Linked DNA regions of Caenorhabditis elegans. The protein of the gene in region 4 interacts with the protein of the main gene of each other region in a pairwise test. Each region holds a gene or a part of one and is shown on either strand. Other genes may lie near its edges.

What was found.
Region 1: the proteins of ztf-16 (region 4) and egl-43 interact in a two-hybrid assay, tested with the Caenorhabditis elegans proteins (one large-scale study listed by BioGRID).
Region 2: the proteins of ztf-16 (region 4) and ceh-9 interact in a two-hybrid assay, tested with the Caenorhabditis elegans proteins (one large-scale study listed by BioGRID).
Region 3: the proteins of ztf-16 (region 4) and lin-39 interact in a two-hybrid assay, tested with the Caenorhabditis elegans proteins (one large-scale study listed by BioGRID).

What each region holds. Positions count from the first base shown.
Region 1 is NC_003280.10:9,953,453-9,958,209, reverse strand, and holds the start of egl-43 (Zinc finger protein egl-43), read right to left. Parts: upstream 3,026-4,757; 5' UTR 3,025-3,025; coding exon 2,905-3,024; intron 1,200-2,904; exon of another isoform or gene 1,198-1,199; coding exon 1,096-1,197; intron 1,041-1,095; coding exon 910-1,040; exon of another isoform or gene 863-909; intron 1-862. UniProt on the Caenorhabditis elegans protein: Probable transcription factor, required for migration of the hermaphrodite-specific motor neurons (HSNs) from the tail to the gonad primordium during HSN cell differentiation. Required for phasmid neuron development.
Region 2 is NC_003279.8:564,745-568,255, reverse strand, and holds ceh-9 (Homeobox protein ceh-9), read left to right. Parts: upstream 1-1,667; 5' UTR 1,668-1,864; coding exon 1,865-2,015; intron 2,016-2,375; coding exon 2,376-2,563; intron 2,564-2,711; coding exon 2,712-2,816; 3' UTR 2,817-2,972; downstream 2,973-3,511. Other genes in the region: Y65B4BR.1 (Lipase_GDSL domain-containing protein), read right to left, coding at 3,146-3,511.
Region 3 is NC_003281.10:7,533,587-7,538,165, reverse strand, and holds the start of lin-39 (Homeobox protein lin-39), read left to right. Parts: upstream 1-1,533; 5' UTR 1,534-1,576; intron 1,577-3,465; coding exon 3,466-3,765; intron 3,766-4,579. UniProt on the Caenorhabditis elegans protein: Transcription factor.
Region 4 is NC_003284.9:4,805,491-4,813,266, forward strand, and holds ztf-16 (Zinc finger protein ztf-16), read right to left. Parts: upstream 6,051-7,776; 5' UTR 6,036-6,050; coding exon 5,963-6,035; intron 5,750-5,962; coding exon 5,694-5,749; intron 5,450-5,693; coding exon 5,305-5,449; intron 5,202-5,304; coding exon 5,110-5,201; intron 4,756-5,109; exon of another isoform or gene 4,618-4,755; intron 4,400-4,617; coding exon 4,331-4,399; intron 4,167-4,330; coding exon 4,077-4,166; intron 4,015-4,076; exon of another isoform or gene 3,874-4,014; intron 3,181-3,873; coding exon 2,956-3,180; intron 2,764-2,955; coding exon 2,584-2,763; intron 2,516-2,583; coding exon 2,390-2,515; intron 2,342-2,389; coding exon 2,138-2,341; coding exon of another isoform or gene 2,054-2,137; intron 1,387-2,053; coding exon 1,204-1,386; 3' UTR 508-1,203; downstream 1-507. UniProt on the Caenorhabditis elegans protein: Positively regulates the expression of ver-1 in the amphid sheath glia of amphid sensory neurons. Together with ehn-3, plays a role in somatic gonad development and is required for proper gonadal primordium assembly and somatic gonad precursor cell morphology.

The DNA.
Region 1 (4,757 bases), on a different chromosome or scaffold from region 4:
TGATACGAATAACGATTTAGAAAAATCTATTAAATATTAAAATTAACCCAAACTTTTCAAATCTAATCGGGCAAGTTCAAGGTCTAACGTAAAAATTGAAACCTAAACTTTTGGGATACCAAGGAATCATCGTCTAAAAATTTAAGAAACATAGAAAAGATGGTAATAACACAAATTAAGTTAGCGATATAAAGATTTCGGAAAAAAAGATAAAAATTTATATTTTCCGCAAAAAAAACGATTGATTCTCAAAAAAGATGCAAAATCTAGATCCGCTTCCTTCCCCCGATGCACACCCCTCAAAATAAATCAACGATTTCCTTTGAGGGGCTCAAATACCCAAAAAAGGGCTCCTCCGGAAACCGACACGAATTTGTCATCCAGAAGCGGTAGAATCTATATGTAAATGAACGGGACACAAAAAAAGCGGGCGGGCTTCACTTGGAGATGCTGAAGGATGTGCTCTTATCGGAAATCCGTTACTTTCACCGCGCCAGTGAAAACTATCGAGAAAACGACGGGAGTTAGAAAGTAGGACGATGAGAAGAAAATGACAGAAGATTTTCATGAAGATTCACATCTTTCTTCCGTTACTTTTCCGTTAGAAATCGAGATTTATTTTCGAATATTCGCCTGTGTAAGACCGACAAAACCGGTTTGAAATTTTTTAACGCTGATCTCAACAACTCAAAAATTAAAGGTATACTCAATCTGCTTTTTAGAAATTGTTTTATGTGTAATTCAAACATCCTTCTATGTATAGCAACACAGAACTTCAAATCATAGAAAAAATTCCGGAAAATTACAGTTTTTGCAACTTGTTCAGTTATCGTTCCAATTTCAAAGGTGAGAAAAATCATACCTTTTTAGCATGCTCTTTTTCTTGTTTCTTTCAAGGGTCATACTCACCGATCTTCATCTTTTAACAAAATTAAATTCTCAAGATCATCCTGATCCTCCTCATCACACTCCTCTTCGGACAGTCTTTGTAGAAGAAGACGCTCTCCAATATTGATAATCTTACTGGTTTGTAGAAAAGTCTGAAATTTTTCTTATAGTTAGATAACTTCCTCATTAAATTTATCTAATAATCACCTTTCTATCCTCCTGCCTCATACAAATATTGGCATCTTCTCCGTCATCAGCTTCCTTAATCAGGTTCAAGATGAGAAGAGCATTCGAATCATTCGGTGTAGCCTAAAATAATAATATTTATAAAATTAATGTAAGTGATTGTTTTTAGTACTTTTTCTAAATGATGAGTGTAGAATCTAGGATCTACATAAATCGTAGTAAAAAAATGTATGCCTGCCTGAAAGGTGACCTTCGACGGCCTCGTGATAACATGGATTAAAGAAACGATTGGCACGCTGGGTAGGTTTCTCTATGACCGCTTGTAAGACAACGGTGATGTCTCTTCGGACTTAATTTTACAAAAAATGGACACGAATAGTTATAAAAAATTAAAGTTTCAAGAATCCCTGTATTTGGCGATGCGTTCTTCAAAACTGCATATCCAAATTTTAAGTTTTCACTTCATTTGATATATTGCGGACTGGAAAAAGATGACGTCACGCGCGTCACACCGTGTGACACCAGTTACAAGACTGCATTATTTTTCCTGCAATCTCTGTATATTTTCCCACAGATCTTCGCAGAAACAGTTTAGTACCTCAACAAGGGTTTTGTTGGGCGTACTGGGTTTCCTCCCTCAATTATTTCACAAATCGCACACATTCTAAACTCATTCTCGAAAAAATCTTATTTCATTTCGGCCAACTCACCACTCTCTGTGCTCCGTGAGCTTCAGCCCAAAAACCCATCAATATCTAATAAGAAGAAGCAGGAGCTGTCGCTCTCTCTATCGCTTCTGGAATCTAATTTTCCCACTGTGAGAGCAGGTGGTTTGCCTTCACCAAGCAACCATAAGCAATCAGTGGCTCTCTCGCAAAAGATGATGAACTTTTTCTTCAGTGGCTTCTGATTCTGAGTGACTGCCGCTTGATGTGGTGTGCGTGCGTGATAAGCCAATCAGTGTGAGAGACCCGTCGCCGGCTCTAGATGATAAACAACTGGGGGAAATACACTAATTCAATGATGGAATTGTGACGAAGTTGGATAACGACGACAGCTACAGTAGGAAATTGACGGCTTGATCAACGGATTCAATCCCTCTCCTTTATTGATAGAGCTCCTCAAATTCTTCTTCCTATGGAAACCTAGCAATTATCCATTTTCCCATCAGCGACTGTATTCATCAATTACAGTCGATCATCGAGTCTCTTTTCCCATCTCGGATCCCCCATCCACCAAGGCACCAGGTGTTCCGATTTGTAAATCCTAATGTAATGGTTACTAGTGTGCCCCCAAGGTTAACAAAGTGGTAATGGACGGGGGGAGCGGGAAAGGTGGAAAGACAGGTGTAAGGAATTTTTGAGGAGAAGAAGCAGGGAGGAACACATGGCGCCAAACATTTCAGGGTCCCGATAATTGCGGTTTTGGGTTCTGGGAAGAATTTGTAATTCGAACGTTGAATCATTAGGAAAGGATTTGAAAATGTTGGCGAAGGTACTGTAGATTAGGTAGATTAGGCACCAAGGTATCAATTTAAAATGCTTGTAAAAATATTTTAAAAAAAGTTTTGTTAATTTAAAAAAGTCATTATTTTATCAATTACAACCTAAAATTACTGTTATCATATAACTACTAACTAACAAAATATGAGTGTAACATCTGAAAGCTTATTTCATAGGTTACTCAAGCTATAAGATATTTCAGTTCAAGCGACCTGTATTTTTTCCGGTGGAGTTTTTTAGACGCCCGGGAATAAGCTTATACTTCTTTTTCTAGCGGACACCTCTAAGACAATGTCTACGGCGTAAAAATTGTACACCAAAAGCTCACCTTATCAATCACACCGATGGTCCTTCCGAGTGCAATTTGAGTTACTGCAATGAGCACATTTCCATGTAGCTCATCCTCCTTTACCTCAACACTCGTGAGGAAGTCTGTGTCGATGCTCATCCTGAAAACTTAGGAAACTGTACGTGGGAAGAAACAAGAACTGTACAAATTACAAGAACAGTTTTGGGGCGAAAGATGAGTAATACATCTTGTGAACGAGAACAATGCAACGAAAAAGTTGGATATGGCTGTTCAAGGCTGGCTTTGTCATTGAGAACGAACAGGGAGGAGGAATGGTACGGTAGATGTACGAATTTGGGATAGGAGTTAGGAGTAAGCTGAGAGATATTGGAGGGAGGTGTAGTTTGGGAAGAGATTATTATTTTATTGAATTTTTTAGTAGATGGTGAAAAAGTTTACAAGCCCAATTCATTTGGTAGATGAACTGTAGGAAATTCGTTTGAGATTTTTCATGACAAATTTGCTAGTCAGTTTTAAAATCAAGAAATTCTTAATTTAGAGATTATTTTTTGAGGGTTCTACACCACCACAATGTAGGATACAATTTTATTGAAAAATTGACATATGAGAAGATTGCTCTTCAAAATTTGACATTCTATATTTGATCCAAAAACTCGAATGTCTCTCCAGAAGTCATATATAGTAAAAACGTCAAGATACTTTAAGGATACTTCAACTAACCAGAAAAAAAAGAAAGGAAGATGGAAAGAGGCGCCTTCCATTTGTGGATGCGAGAGGAGCGAGAGCCTCTCCTGTCTCAAAAAGTGGGCGGGTGGAAGAGATGGAAGACGACACGCCCATCAGCCAATCGGTAGAGTGACAGGATGCTTCAGGTGAGGAGCATCTTCACTTGAAAAGTTGCAAGTTTCGAAAACCCCACGTTACTAAAGACTATTTTAATATAGAAAATTCTTAAAGTAGAATAGCAATTTTTATTTACTTTCTAACATATGTACTTCGATACTTAGAAAAATAAACAAAAGTGAAAATATCTACACCTACTAAATTAGAATCTATTGAGCATTTCTAGTAGAAGCCAAGCCGTTTATTTGTCGGCTGAATGTCTGTAATAAGTTTCCTGATATCATGAGGTGAAAGCAGAAGACAAACGTTTTTTCCAGGAGTAGGCTATCGCGAGACTCCATCGAGGTCGGCTGCGAGTTTACCGAACTGCTCAATAATCAAAGACCAACTTAAAAACTATAACAACTATTGACTTAGTTTGAATTTTTGGAAGTAAATTGCTGGACGGAAAATACAACAGGGTGTAGCAGTTTGCCGCAGCTTTGAAATTATACATTTGAGGACAGTCTAGAACCATCCAAAAAATCAGTGACCCCAGAGTTTCCAGTAAAAGCGAGCAAATGGGAGCTATTTTAAAGTAGAGGTGTGCCCCTCCACCAATTGTGGTCTTCTTCTGACGGATGTGCTGCGCTTTTCTTCTTCATGGTCCTCATCTTTTTGGAAGAAGGGACGGGACAAAATTGCCGCTTCTTTTCTTCTATTCTTTCCGTTTTTCTTCTCCTCATAGCTCCAGGTGAGCGCACCGAGAAGAGCTTTTATATAGGAGTAATAAAAGGTGGGCTCGTCCATTCTACAGAAAAATAGAAGAATGGAAAAGTTGTGAGGAAAATGGAAAAAAAGTTAGAGACATTCAAGTGATACAGTATTAAAAGTGTCATAAGTGTAGAAAGAAAACGGTCACATTTTGAAATGAAGAATTGTTGAACAAGAGTAAAATATTTCGAAAACCTTGAAAATTTAAAGTTATGGTGCTCATCACTTGACACATGATGTGCCATTAGAACTGATAATAATGATATGATAACAAA
Region 2 (3,511 bases), on a different chromosome or scaffold from region 4:
AGGGGAAAATTTAGGGTGAATTAAAAATATTTCCAAGATTCAAGTTTTTTTGGTTAGACCCTTATTAATTTTTGCGTGCTGACGTCACAATTTTTCTGGAAAAATATTCCCGCATTTTTCGTAGATCAAACCGCAATGAGACAGCCTGACACCACGTGTATCGGTTTATTTTTAAGATACCACATGGAAATTGACAAATTCTCGATTCACCATGACTAAAACTAGAATATTAATAAAATTTTAGCTATAAGTATTTGTCTGTTGCTTCTCGACAAAGCTGTAGAAAAAGTTTCGAAAAATTGAATTTTTGAATTTGAATTTTTGATTTTTTTGATCCCAAGTTTTTTTCCAGTTCGTTCCAGTAATAATTATATATATATCTAGGCAAATAAATCTCCCCTCGCTTGAAATAAAAAAAAATAAACTCAAGACATATCAAATAAGCAATCAACTTTCATGTCCGCTATATAAGGTCTGAAACATTTATGGAAAAAGTTTGTTTGCCACAAAGATTTATTCGTTGACATTTTTTAAGAATGTTCCCAAGATGGAAGTCATGAATTTATACTTTCTTGGAATAATTTTATTACCAACTGTTTTCTGATTTTTTTTTGGTTAAAAATGTCCCCCCGTCTCATTTCATTTTCCCGCTAGAATATATTTTTTCTCCTGCAACCTATAAACTTCCGATAATTGATGATATTTAAATAAAAGTGTTCAGTGATATTACGGAAAAAATGCAAAAACCTCAAACTTTCCAAAATAACGTACGACTTTTTAAAAGTAAGTAATTTACATTTAACATGCGTAGTATTATGTTTCTCTAGTTTTACATTTTCCTCAAGTTCTAATAGGAATATATCAAACTTCAAAAGAAATTTAGAGCATTTGGGAGCAATTTGGGCTCGGAAAATTTTTTTGGTTTTTTTATTGTATTTTTAAATTAAAAAAAAAAGAGCCGTGAAATTGCTCAAAAAAAAAAAGGTTTTTTTGCGTGCGGGTTGCATATCCTCATTTTAAAAGTAATTTTTTAGGCTATAAAAATATAAACTTGTGAAAGATATGTTTTTTTCTGGATTTTGTGAATTTCTGGAAATTTCTCTTTCTTTTTTTTCTACCCTTCCCTCACCCCCGCCTGAGCTTATTCTGAAGCCAACACCTAAGCCTAAGCCTAAGCCTAAGCGTAAGCCTAAGCCTAAGTCTGAGCATAAGCCTAAGCCTCAGCCTAAGCCTCAGCCTAAGCCTAAGCCTAAGCCTAAGCCTAGGCCTAAATTTAAGTGTAGCCTTAAGTCTAGACCTAAGCCTAAGCCTAACAATAAGCTTATACTCAGTAGACATCCTTACAAAATTAATTCGATTTCCATGAAAAATTGTAGATCAACCTTGCTGGTCTATTCAAAAGGTTTTTTTCAAATAATTGAGGTTATATTTGAAAGTCCAAGTATTACAAATTAGCACAATAATATCACATGTGCCTCCGCTACTCCAAAATTTCAATTCAAATATTTAAGTTCAAGAAAAGTATTTAATAGTCAAGTATGAGAAACTCATTCCCTCAATTGCATCAAGTATCATCCCTTACCACCAATCCTCCTCTCCCCCTCCTCCTTCTCGAAATCCGGTCTCTTATTCAATTTGCTGGCTCATGCTCTTTTTGTCATCATCTCAGAACTCACCCATCTTCTTCTTCTTTCCACACCAATTGCGCAATCATTGTCGACCACTTTGGCAAATTGTCGTCGTCGTCAACCGTCAAAAGTCCCCCGAGAGTCCAGAATTTCAATTATTTGATTGAAGAGAAGGCGGGGACCTCGAGACCTACTGTATAGAGAAGTCTCTCAGAAGTTCTTTTCATTCGTGCAAAATGGAAACTGACTTGCTCTTCCAACTACTTCAACCCTATTTTGCACTGTTGACGTCTGATGTGAAGCCTCAGAGAAGAACTAGTCACCTGATAAAGGATATACTTGACTTACCAACTGTTAATGGAGAAATTGATGAATTTGGAAGATGCAGTAAGTTGATTTCTTTGGATTAGGTGTATGAAGTTTTGTAGTTGAAAAATAGACTAGTTTTGGGCATGGTGCATTTGAGGTGAAATACTATTCTTTTTGACATGGTGCATCGATTCGTATTTTCTGTAATAGTATTTCACTGGCCTTTTTTTGAGTAAAAATTACAAAAATTACAAGACACAATTTTTATTTCCTTTACTCTCAATTTTTGTTTTAAAATATTAGAAAATCTGAAAAAAATTAAAATGTTTTCGAAATTTTGGAAAAAAAATTTTTTGGAAATTTACTAATTTTGTTCAATGAATTTCGGAAAAATGCTACACGTAGAAAAATAATCAGCCGTTAAGAATATTTTTTCAGAATCCAGCCTCGACCAAGCCAAAGAGTCTCCTATAGAAAAATGTCAAAAAACAAAGAGAAAGAAGGCGCGGACGACATTTTCCGGGAAACAAGTATTCGAACTGGAGAAGCAGTTTGAGGCGAAAAAGTATTTGTCAAGTAGTGACAGAAGTGAGCTTGCAAAACGATTGGATGTCACGGAGACGCAGGTAGGCACGCAGCGCGGCACGCAACGCGGCACGCAACGCAGCCCGCAACGCAGCACGCAACGCGGCACGCAACGCGGCACGCAACGCAGCACGCAACGCAGCACGTAACGCGGCACTCAACGCATAGCTGAAATTTCTCAAATTCCAGGTGAAAATCTGGTTCCAAAACCGGCGTACCAAGTGGAAGAAGATCGAATCGGAAAAGGAAAGATCTGGAGAAATACCGGATGATCAGATTGTGAAGCCGCAATAATTTTATGTTGTTTTTATTTTTCAAAGAAAAAGTCGTGATATATCCCCTTCTATGAAATCCCGTGAACAATTAGTATTTCCAGTATCTTTTTTTCAAAATCAAGATCTCTTCCTTTACCTTGATCTCCATTCTTCTAATAAATAATTATTGCAAAAATATTTACTCGCTCTATTGATAGCTATATTGTGTACTCCACGTGGATATTTTTATTGAGGGTGCTCTTTCTTTTATGTCTCACACGTTAAAAATTAAAGATTACACGATAAAACATTTTATTGCAGACCCGATAAGTACGTCAAATTACACACACAAACACAATTTCCTACAGTCTAGGCAGTCATATATTTCGAGCAGTCAACACTGTTCTTAGTTGTTCTGAAGAATGGGCACTTGGTGTCTGGGCAGTTTAGTGGAATGGTAGGATCTGACAGATTGACTTGATGGTTCTTGGATCCGACTGGTTGAACGATATTGTTCCACAAGTGCTTGGCAACATTGGCGTGGCCTAGTTTTGAGAAATGGAAGCAATCCGGTGCAAACCAATCCAGATTGACTTCTCCGTCGGGCTTGAGTGGTGGAACTGTGATTCCATTGAAGAATGGTTGAACGACAAATGTAAAGTCATCTGTTGAGTCGAAGATTCCCGAGTCTTGAATCTCCTGCTGAGCATCCATGTAAAGATGGCAGGCAGCCGA
Region 3 (4,579 bases), on a different chromosome or scaffold from region 4:
GAGGAATTGTCGAACATCAATTTGTAAAAGAGAGAAGATCCCTACACTTCTTCAACCTATTTTTTCTTGATTCGTGTACCTACAAATGAGTAATTGGATGCCATTCATTCCACACTTCTTGATGCTTCCTGACACTCATAAATCACTGTAAAAGAGACAGGAAATAGACTTGAGTCAATTGCATAATCACTTACTAATCATTTACTCACTTTTTTTTTTTATTTATTACCACAGTGTTATGCAATTCTTATCTCCTTATCTATACTGTGAGAGGTGTGAGGATATTGGATCATTTATAGATTGAGAAAACTGATAATGAAATAAAAAATGTGATGTGTTTGGGTTATTTCCTTTTATAGTACATTATCATGTGTTGTGGCTCTGAGAATTTGTAATTCTCTATGTACTGTTAATTTGAAAATTTTATTTTAATCAAAAAATTAAAAAAGACTTTCAAAGTTAACAAAAGTAACACATTTTAAGTTTTATAAATAGTTTAAATATCTCTGTTTGCATGTTTACAGTAGGGAACTTCTAGAACTTTATTCTTTCATTTTGTAAGAGGCGTTGGAATCAATTCAGTTGCAGTTGGCATTTCTGAAACCTCAAGTTTCGGGAACTTTTACTTTTAAGAACAAGGTGAGGCACTGCTGGAAATCTCGAAGCAATTTCAGATGCCTTGCAAAATCTTGAAAACATATTAAGCGTATGCTTCAGTTGTAGACTTTTATATTTAGGTATCTTGACAATTCCAAAAAATAGTGTTTGGTGTCGACCAAGTATTGATAACATTTAATTTAGCTAGAAATAGCTAGAAGCTTAAATTTTTAGAAAATCTGATCAATGACCTAGAAAAACTTCAACGTTTTTCAAAATTCCCATAACGCCGTTTTAAAATTTCACAGAAATTCGTCTTTTGGTCATTTGAACTTTTTGTGCATACCAGGCATTTGGCTCAAAAAGCGGACTATCAGATGTTGGCAAAAGTTGGTAAGAGCTTTGACAATACTTGTCTTAGACTATGTTGTCGAAACCTTGCTCAATTTCTGCTCAAGTTTTAGCCCAAAGCCGAGATACTCTCCCTTTTTGCCATTTTTCCAATTTTCATGTAACAATTCCATATCTATAAAATCAGAGAGTTCATAAAATTGAGCACATTTCGACTGACTCTTGACAACTTGTCCAATGGGAAAAAGTTGGTCAAGATTTTGTTCCTAAAAGCGGCAACTTAAAAGCGAAAATTCATTCTGCTCAACTCTTCTACTCTTGGAGCCCAAAAGCTTACGGTACCTGTCGTTCTCACCCCATGTCCATCCAGCGCTGTCAGTGATGAATTGAAAAGGCGAGAGCAAGAGATGTGCTCTCGGCTCCACGAACCTCTTTGATCTATGCCGACAGTGGGGGAGATTGGAGAAGAAGCATGCTCCACCCTTCACGTGTATCAGTACGTCTGCGTCTTCTTGTGCGTGCCGCCCGGATTAGAAGACATGAAGTGGGAGGGCGATAGAGGAAATTCCGATGGCAATACCAACAATAGAATTTTGGCAACATTTTTTTACGACCTTCTAGAATTAAGGTAAATCTCTCTTTTTTTAAATCCACTCCTGGCACAAAGCTTCTCAAAGTTCTAAATGAAACTGGAACTTAACTTTAAATAAGTTGAACCTAGAGGTCACCTGAAAAAGTTATAGGAAAATTCTCTACTATTTAAAACGTAGTCTTTAAATTTTGCAAGTTATGTACTTCAAATATCAATTTTCCACCTTTGTGGCAGAAAACGTTTAAAATCTAGTTTATTTCGGAACCCTCTTATATTTTCGCAAAGTTATCGACTAAATTTCAGTATTTGAAACATTTTTAGATACTCGGCTTTGGCTTCTGCTGTTTTTTTTTTGTTGTAGGAATTTATTCAAATTACCTGCGTTCCGAAAAAACATTTTATGTTGCATTATTGGAGAATATACCATTGAAAAATTGAAAACATATCTGGAAGAAATGAGCCCAGATTAGATGTTGCACTTTATGAGGCGTTGCGAAGGCGCCTTTTTACCGTGTTCCCGTTATTCTGCCGATCATTTAAATAAATTGAATCTCACCCTCGTTTAATTTGTGAATCATAGAAGAAAACAAAATGTAATCTTACTTTAAAAAAGCTATTATCACAACTTTAAATTATCCAACTTAAAAGCTTCATTGTCAGGTGTGTGCGACAAATCTACCGAAATTGCTGAGTTCGTCAAATTTCGAGGATTGCCCACAGCCTCAATATTTCTGAAATTTCATTTTGTAATCAGTAGTCACATAAATATTCAAGACATGGAGAATGTGTGGAATAGTGTTAGGTAACATTTCAGAGCTTAGGCCTACAGAGAAAACACATAAAGACTTCTAGTCCATACTTCTTCTTGACCTCATAGATTGCTTACTAGTTTATATAAAGCTATTTAGAGCAATTATCCAATCTTATAAGGTAAAACCCGCGGGTCTTAAACCATGACCACCCACTTGAGCACACCCACAAAAACAATTCGTCTCTCGCAGATTGCTCCTCAATTTATCACCATCATCTTTTCTCTCTCCATTTCCAACTCTTTACTTTTCTTCTCTTTTTGTTCTGTTTCCGTTCTTAAGCTTTTGTTGTTTTCCTAGTTTTAATGATTTCCTAAGGATTAGGTACAAGTAGTTGATAGGTTGATCTAATTCCTTTTGATGAATGCAGTAATTAAAAAAAACAAGGTTCTTAAATTAAAATTTAAAATCTATCAAACGGTAATTATTGCTAATTCGTGTTCTGAAATTTATTGGTTTCAATTATATGTGCCCAGGAATTTTAATAAATTTTAAAGCTCTGATCACCTGTAAAAGAAATTGATGGTTGCTGAAAGTTCTTCAAAATTTTAAGAACTGAATCATCGTATTTAACTTTTGTGTTGAAAATTTGGGCTCTTGGGAGATATTGATCCGGTCATTGATTGCGATTGTACACGTATCTCTGAATTCTAGACTAGCAGCACAAATTGTTAGTTTTCTTGCTCTCACTACAATTGTTCAAATTTAAATACCTATTCTACTAGTTATTCGGTTTTTGAAGATATGTAGACTTTAGGAATATCTGAATGATCTACTTCAATGAAAAAAATTTGATCTCTTTTTTTAACTACTGCATTCATCTCTATCGTCCTCTTATTCTATTCCCTCATCCCTTCCGCTTTCTGAGACTCCACCCTTCGTCCAATAGGAGAAATGGGCGGGATCGGGGAAGGATGGCGCCCGGTATTCTGTCTCTTTTGCAATGGAAGAAAAGAGGAGAAAGAGGGAGACGTCACATTTTTAACAAATGTTCAACCGCCCCGACGCGCCTCTCGTCCTCATTTATTATATCACCTCGTTTCCCCTCCCTCCCCTCATCTTTTCATCTCTTTTCAATCAATTCTTATCAATCACTTTCACTCGTTTTCACTCCAGATGACCACATCAACATCACCGTCATCCACAGATGCACCGAGAGCTACAGCTCCTGAATCAAGCTCTTCGTCTTCATCCTCATCTTCTTCATCATCATCCACATCTTCTGTGGGTGCATCTGGAATTCCATCATCTTCTGAATTATCGAGTACAATTGGATATGATCCAATGACAGCGTCTGCTGCACTTTCTGCTCATTTTGGAAGTTATTATGATCCGACTAGTTCTTCTCAAATTGCTTCATATTTTGCCTCAAGTCAAGGACTGGGAGGTCCTCAATATCCAATACTCGGAGATCAGGTTAGTTACGAAACTTTAAAGGTAATTTTTAAAACAGTATTATATTTAAAAAAAAAACACTACAAATTTAAGTAGATGAAATGATATTTTAGAAAAGTTCAGCAATTTCGAATTTCGTAATCTTTTTAAGTTCTCTGAACGTCACCATACTTTAAGCAAGAGTTGGAGCGTTATAGTTAGGAAGCTCCTCTATTGGCAAAAATTAAATTTGTGTAAAATTTTAATAACTAAAATAGTGTGTGATTCGGGATAATTAAAATAAAGGAATGCTCACAGATTTATAGAAAGTCACAATTTTTTATTTGCCGCACTTTTGACAACCTTCAAATAATTCTAGTTTCTGCAAAGCGCTGAGACCGATTTGGTTAACTTTTGCTAATCGAATTTAATTTCTGAAAACAAACCATTTTGAAAAATAAACAGGTGCTCAGAGACAATTAGTTCTTGAAACATTTCGGGTCCATGTGGAATTTAAATTTCTTGAAAGTTTTTTTTTATTTCATCTGTTTTTTTTTAATTCAAAAGTTCTAACACCCTTTTGGCGCCTCCCACTGGTTTGAAACTTCTGTCATTTCCCGCCAAAAATTGAAAATCAATCAATTCCTCAGCGTTTCTGAAAATAATCTGACAACGCGATCAATTTTATTTTCTCTTTTGAAGTGAGTGGACTGGCGCCTGGTGACTACCATTGGAAGAGTAGGAATTGAAATAAAATTTATGAGAACGAGTTACAAAATGGAGAATAAGAGGAAGAAGAGTATTCAGATTGAGATTAATGATCGTTCCATCGATTTTTGTACTTTTTTAGATTCAC
Region 4 (7,776 bases):
TGAATAAACATGAATTTTTAGGTTTAATGCGAAATTGTAAAAAAAATATGGCAAAAACTGGAAACTTCGCCAACCGTGTTTCTCAATCATGTTCTGTCAGATAACTGACGAAAGGCACCTGCAATTTGTGTTGTGATAGTTCTACTTTTTATCAATCTGCTAACAAATATAGATGCAGTTTGAAATAAAACAACAACCCATAAATAGTTCAAATGTCCTTACAAATGGCTATAAATAAAACTGATCTAGTAGTCGCTAATCTTGACAAAAATATGAGAAAGAGAGCCACTATTGTTGGTCCTGCAGAGCACAATGTTGATGCATTGGGTTCTTGGCAAGTCCCCGTGGGACACTGCCCAACTGAACCGGATTGTCCGTAGTGAGCAGCACACGACTCATAACCATATACGCTGGGCCAATGTCAATCACAGACTGCCTGCCAATCCATTTAGCCGTTTTCCTAGCCACCATGACTTTTTTCTAGTATTCTATTCTCCAGTATGTTTTCAACAAAATTTATTTTGAAATGGGAAGAAAATTGATGGGACAGTGGGACAGAGAGAAAGCTTGATAAAATTACTATTCTAATCGGAAAGAAATGTTTGGGATGGGTGGAACAGATAAGGAGGCCTTCAAAAATTCTGAATATCAGTTGAAGTTCACTAGTTTAAAATACATTCGAAGAAATCATTGAAATTGTACAAATTTTGATGAGGGGTGGTGGTGAGAAAGGAAAATAAAACACTAACAACAAAAACCTAACAATGCAAGGTTACGGAAAAAATTAACGGGTCCAAAATGACTTTTGACACGTGTGCAAATGAATTGAAACAAGATAGAGAGCAGAATCAGGAGAAGATGAAGAAAGTTTTTAAAAATGTAAATAATGATATTTGATGGTTTAATATTGATGAGAAATAGACAAAAACACGGGGCAAATACTTTTGATAGAGACAAAGAGCTGTTGAGAATCAATGAGAAGAAGCAGAATCATTCGTTGTTTCCCTGTTATGAAGAAAGAAAGTGACAAATAAAGAGGTAATCAGAATTGACTGTGAATATGCATCGAAAAAAACCGAAGAAAACCGAAAAAAAAAACAAAAATTAAAATGTGGATGAAAGAATGGGGGTGTTTTGGATTCGCTAGACTGACTACTAAAACTGAAAGGCAATCGGGGGGATATTTCTTGGATGATGGTGAATTCAGGCGGAAGTCGTTGCTTGAGTACTATGATCGGCAAAAATGACATGAGTAGTGAACATGTACTTCTCGCCGCACTGAGTTCCGCACAATGCGCATTTGAAAGGATCACCGTCCGAGTGAAGACTTTTATGGAGCAGGTACATTGTGTTGTCGTAGAACATCATTCCGCAATGACAGCATTCCTAAAATAATTCTAGAGTTAGATGCCATTAAATGAGTAACGGTTATGAGTGTTTTGAGTATATATACAGAAAGCGCACGAATTAACGAGCTTTGCAATGAAGTTTCTAACAGAAACTTTTTAAAAAGTTTTTTTTAATCGAAATTTGAATTTTTGAAAAAACCTGCCAAATTCTAGCTAAAAACTGCAGCAGTCCGAACTTTTTTTTGAATGGTATCAGCTGCTGCGAACCGGAAAAGGCAAAGGCCGGGCTTTTAGCTAAAATTAACTCTTTTTTTTTGAAATTTTTTGAGAAGTCTCATTGCAAAATGTTCAAAATACCTAAAACCTATAGTTTTCCTTTAAATTCAAATTTCGGAAGAGAAAGTTGATAGTTCTGATAAGGTGGGTGATGTAGAGAATCCATCATCCTTCAGATTTCAAAGAAAACTTGTGACATCTACGAGAAATTGAAAACCTCCTCATCAAACTATACATGGTGTAATGTTCGGTTTTTCTATCTCTTTTTTTAGATTTTTTCTCAAATGAGAACGTTCCGAAAGTTGCAACAAATTGGCAATCATTTAATCAGTCTATGTTTTTAAGGTTGATAAAACCAAATTTTGGCATCAACAAAGAAATGGATCAAAAGTCCCAATTTTTGGAAAAAAAAACTCTGTTGACGATGCTCACAATTCTAATTGCACTTCGAAAAAAGGTAAACAAAATGGTGACATTTTCAATAACAAGTTGTTATTAGCGATAACACATACCACATTCTCCTCGTCTTCTTTTTCGGGAGTCGGTGATTTCTCTTTTTCAGTTAACGAAAGTGATGACTCATTGGCTGGCGGCGAGTGCGACTGTTCACTCGGACTTGGAGCACTGACACTCACAGAGCTTGACGTCTGCTCTGACCAGAGTTGCACCTGATCCTGCTTCACAATCGCTGCCACTGCTGGAATGTTGTGAAGAGCCTGAAATGCAAAGGTTAATTAGCGAAAGTGTGAAGGTTTCATTGATACCGGCAATGGAATATTTGGAATGTTGAGCATTGGTCTTGGGATGTTTTCTCCGAATCCATTGAACTGGTTCATTTGGTTTAGACACATCAACAAAATATCTGGGTTAGCCATAGGGAAGCTTGGTGGCTGAAAATAAAACCATGGAATCATGGAAATGCTTTTTATTCAAAAAGAAACGAAAGAAAGATTCTTACAATTTTGTCGAATTCAGAACTTGTGGAGTTATCGGAGGTGTCGGTGTTTGGAGGGCTAAACTCTGATTTCACCATTCTTTGCAACTGTTCTGTTATGCTCATGTTCGCAGGATCCATTGGCAAAGCATTTCCATTCGACAGCTTCTTCCTTTTTGGCGTGTTTTCTTTTTTCGGAGAAGACTGAAAATCAGAATGAGAAATAAGAGTTCACGTTCAGGATATCACATGATGAGAGAGATTCCACGGAAAGTGCGTCTCTTGGGGCAACCGAATTAAGCTCCGAGAACGAGAAAAACATCACCTAATAAGGCTCAGGTTCTGCTCGCTAATCATGTGTTACGTTTCCGTGTAATCTGAAGTTACATCTCTTACCTCAGAATCGTCATGTCTTGTCTGGAAATGAAGGAGAAGACGTCGCGAATTGGCGAACATCAAATTACATCGCTTACATGACGCGGGATTTGTTGACGAAATTGTGTGCGTTTCTTCCAAGTGTGCTCGGAGTGCATTGTGCTGACTAAACTGCATGTTACATTGTGATACTGGACAGTCGAAACCAAAACCCGTTTTGATATGTGTCATTGAATGCTCTTGCATCTGAAAGTTATAGGTTTATTTTAAGTTACATGTTTAAAACATGACTACGGTATGTTTTTAACATCTAAAAATCGGTTTTCACTTTCACACAATATTACAATTTACAATTTTCTCTGGTTTTCTCCTCGCCCCGCAACCTTTGTCTTTCATTATAAAAACCCCTTTTGATGCGAGCGAGGGTGATGGCTTTCAACTTTTCGGGAACCAATCAGAGACGCAGCTAGAACAAAAAAAAAACCGCCGACGGTTGGTATTTCTTCTTTTTTTTACTGATTGGCCCTGGGGGTAAGGTACACAGTAAAGAGCGGCAAAAATATGGAGACATCGAGAAGATGCTAGAAGGTAGGATGGGAGGTAGGATCTTCCGAAGAAAATGCGCGTGCTATCGTCAAGGTCTTTTACTTCTCATCTTCACCAACGTCGTCGGATAGTATGAAGAATCGGAGAAGAAAGACGCGCCAACCGTTTTCATATTCGACGGCATAACCTGACACCAATACCGTCAAATTGGTTCCCCCCGATTTTCCTGTTTTCTTCAGGCTCGTCGACCTTCAAGAACGGTTTTGGGCAAACAGATATCATCAGAGCGCTTGAAGAAATGGTTGATGGGCACTGCGGCAGTTCCCTGCCATCCATGGAAGAGACTCTTCTTATTTCCGGGAAAGTGAAAATATCCAAATTGAAAACGACCTTCAGGCGGCAATCCGCCGCCTCCTTCTTCCCTCAATTTCCCTTTCCTTACGGGAGATCAGTTTCACTTTCCATTTGATTACGTAAATTGAAGATAAAACACGATTTTTGAGTTACGGAAGGCGGCAGCGGCTTCTTACGCAACAGCCGTTAAATGGTGGGGCTAGGAGGTGGAGGGTAATAAAAAATATGCCAGACAAGCATACCTGATCTTTCCTGAAAAATCGTTTTTTGCAAAAACGACACTCGTATGGCTTCACACCGCTGTGGCGCATCCGATGACGATGCATGTTAGCCTGAAAACGCAACATTGATAAACCACAGGAAGAAAGTGAAAAGGGAATCAAAGAAGAAGATCAATCAGCACGATAACCATACTTGGAAAATCCAAATGATTCAAAAGTTGTCGAGTGTTTGAAAACCAGATTCCGATTCAGAAAATGTTTTAAAAATTGCTCACCTTCTGGCTGAACTGCATTTTACAGATGTCGCATTGGTACATTTGGCCTTGATGGCGTTCATGCGCTTCCTGAAATGTTCAAGAATCTTCACTGGTATGTCATGTGATTTCTAAGGTCATCACGTTTTTTGTACTGCCCCCGTATCTGGTCTTCCCGTTTCTTTTTCCAAAAACGCCTCTTTTTCCTCCCATCTTCTTCCACCCATCCCAATCTCTACCGCTTGATGTCACTACATAACCGAAAAAGGGAAAATCTATGTTTTTTTTGGTTTGGTTTCTCGGAAGATTCTGCCTTAACCAATTAGTATGACACCGGCTCACATGAAAGGCAACATCCTTAAGAAGAAAAGCCAATATATGAGGAGCCTGCCTCCTTCTCCCATACCACTCCACTACTACTCATCCCGATGACCGTTCGGGAAGTGATGGGATTGGCCGTCGGAACAAAAAACAGTAGGGTCAAGTGAGAGACGCAGTTAACTGGACAGTAGATAGAAAGTAAACAGTAGTTTGTGAGAAAAGCGGCATGGAGCGAGTGGGAGAAGAGAAAAGGTTCACGGAGTGTTGACTTACAGGACCCACCTTACAAGGAATTGATGAAAAGTGGAAAAGAGGGAAATTGAAAAGACTTTCATATCCATCAACAGATTTACATGCTAAAATTAATTTGTACCCTTGGGAACATGCGTAATAATGTACTGAAAGTATCTTTCACTCTTCCGTCACCTATAGAACAAGAGAATGCTTTCAAGAAAACGGGTAAAAATCCTTGAACCTACCAAGTGGCTTTTCATGTGTTGCGACATACAAGTGGTGAAATTACAGTGCGGGCAAACGTGAACCGTCTTTTGTCCTTTGGTGCCTGGTTCTTCTGAAATTTTTAGGTTTCACAATTGCATATTGGTACTTGGTAATTAACCATCAATAGAAATACATTCCAGTGTGTAAGAAAATGCAATTCAAAGAAAACTTACTTTTGATGAGAGTGTTTGTGATTTCTGTTATCGAAATGTGATGTTCAAGATGTTCATCCGAGTCCGGACTCGGCGTTGGATCTGAAGGGGGCGTGGACCGTGGCGACGGCGTGGACGACTGAATACCATCTCCCCACTCGATTGTCTGAAAAGCCTTGGTCTCAATGTTTCTAACGAGTCTCAGGGGGCATGTCTGGAAGACGTGTTACAACGTCACATCCAACATCCCTCCCCTCTTCATTTTTTCCACGTTCTGTTGTTCCCTCACATATCTTCTCTACCTCTGGCACTAATTAGGCAAATATGGCATTATGACGCAACCTTTTTTCTATATCTCTCACTCACACGCTCTCACTCTTCTGGATGAATTTTACTCTCCCATAACATACCTGCGAGTTAGACATTTCTCCGCTTGAAGACCTGCTGTGCTCGTTTTCGTGCTTCTCTGCAAAAAAAAAGTATTAGGGGGTAATGTTGCTAAATGTGAAACGCAATAGAAGCGGGTTAGTTAATGGGTTGAAGCGCTCACTAAACCGCTACAAATCCGAATTTTTACGGGTTTGTCTCCGTTCTAAGATGAAAAAAAGATGGACAAAGCGCGGGTAGGTGGATGTTTCAAACGAATTGGCATTCATGTATCACCGAACAGGTTGGTTACCTATATGTCCTTGAAACTCGGAAAATACAGTAGTCGTGAATCCGCATTCTGTGCAAGCGTTCAGTTCATCCATTGTTGAGATCACTGAAATGATAACCATAGCAAAATGAAAAACCCTGACAGGGAATATCTGGTAATGAGACGAAAATGGGCGACAAAAAGAAGAACAACGAGGAAAAATAGGGGAAAAAAGCGAGGAATATGGCACGACGAGACTTGCACACAATAATCAGGTGTGTTTACGGATGGCAGAAGATAAGAAAGGAAATGTATAGGAAATGGTAACAGGCGGATATAGGAATATATGGGAAAATTGGAAAATGGAAATACTAAGAGTGACTGGAAAAATATGTATTATCGGAGCGAAAAAAGCGGAGGAGGGGGAAAAGGAGGAGCCGGATCCATAGGTATGATCACATTGACAAGCATTTACAACGGCTCGCCAAATTACTGGTTACGCGCCTGGATACGAATTTGGGGAGTAGGCAGTAATTTATGGATAGCCAGCTTCTTTAGCAACCACTGCGAGTTGGACTTGTTATGAGTGTGTTTGATTTAGCGAGAGCCTGGTCCACGGTTTTGAGAGCAGCTAGGTGACCTCGCCTAGTTGTTTGTCGTCTCGCGGCGGCGGAGGCGAAGAAGGACCGAGATACGGTTTCCGGGTTTGGCCAAACATCTCAACCCGATGCCTCCCCGTGTACTCCATAAGCTGCTTCTCCGGATTTGACTTGCACTCATAGCGACGAGCTACTGTGTGCTTACTATATTTGTAAGAGAAGTGGTAAAGTGTGTATTCGCTGGGCAGTAGGTATCTTACGGACCTTTACGAGGAGCAATAAGAAAAAAAAGTTGATGAACATTAAAAAAAACAGGAGGAACTAATATGGATTAATTATCGCATCCAGACATGGTGTGTAAGATACGAAACATCAAAACATATATACTATTACACAAAATTTGCATCATAAACACGAAAAAGAGATTTGATGGATTGGGTGGATAGGGTAAAAATGTTATAAAATGAAAATTTTCAATGATCAAAATCTGAAACCAGCACAAAAATAAGATTCAGGAACCTGAGAAAAAAGAACAGGATCTCAAGGAAGGCAAAGTAATGCCAGGTGGATTATAGCACAATTATGTTGATGATTGCATGGCTGTGTGTCTATACTGGATTACTGTCAATTGCGCGTAACCACCACTACAAGTTCGAGACTAGCAGGAAGGTGGTCTAGATGGACAGATGGTGCTAACAGGTAATTGAGATGGGTGAAGTGACTGGAGAGCAAACTCGCATCTAGTATGACGTTACGTTTGCGGAGGAGAACGGTAAGATTGCGATACATAAATCTAGGTTCTATGTTTTAGGTTCTAGGATAGGAAGAGAAATTTGGGGTGTGAGGAATGGTGGGGAGCAAATATGGAGTGAAGGAATCTCTGGGGGTGGGGCACCGCAGGCATTGGATACGGTAGAACTAAAAGTGCAAAAGCTGGCAAACTGATATGGGGCGGATTACACCTGGGGGTGGCAGGGCGGAAAAACGACTTTACGCGGATGGCAATGAAAAAATGAGATGGCGGGGATCGAGGGGGGGAGGAGGTGACGGTTTCTGAATGGCATTTACAAGAAGAGAGAAAGGGGGTGAGATAGTGCGTGTGTCGCGGGGTGCCAAACAAGCTTTTTTGGGAATACGATGAAGAAAAAAGAAGAAAAACGATGTAGAAGAAGAAACTGTCGATGGCAGCAGCAGCGGCAGTGGCGGCAGGCAGCAACGGGCATCATCTCTATCTGTCGCCCGGGGGCGCAAGATGTA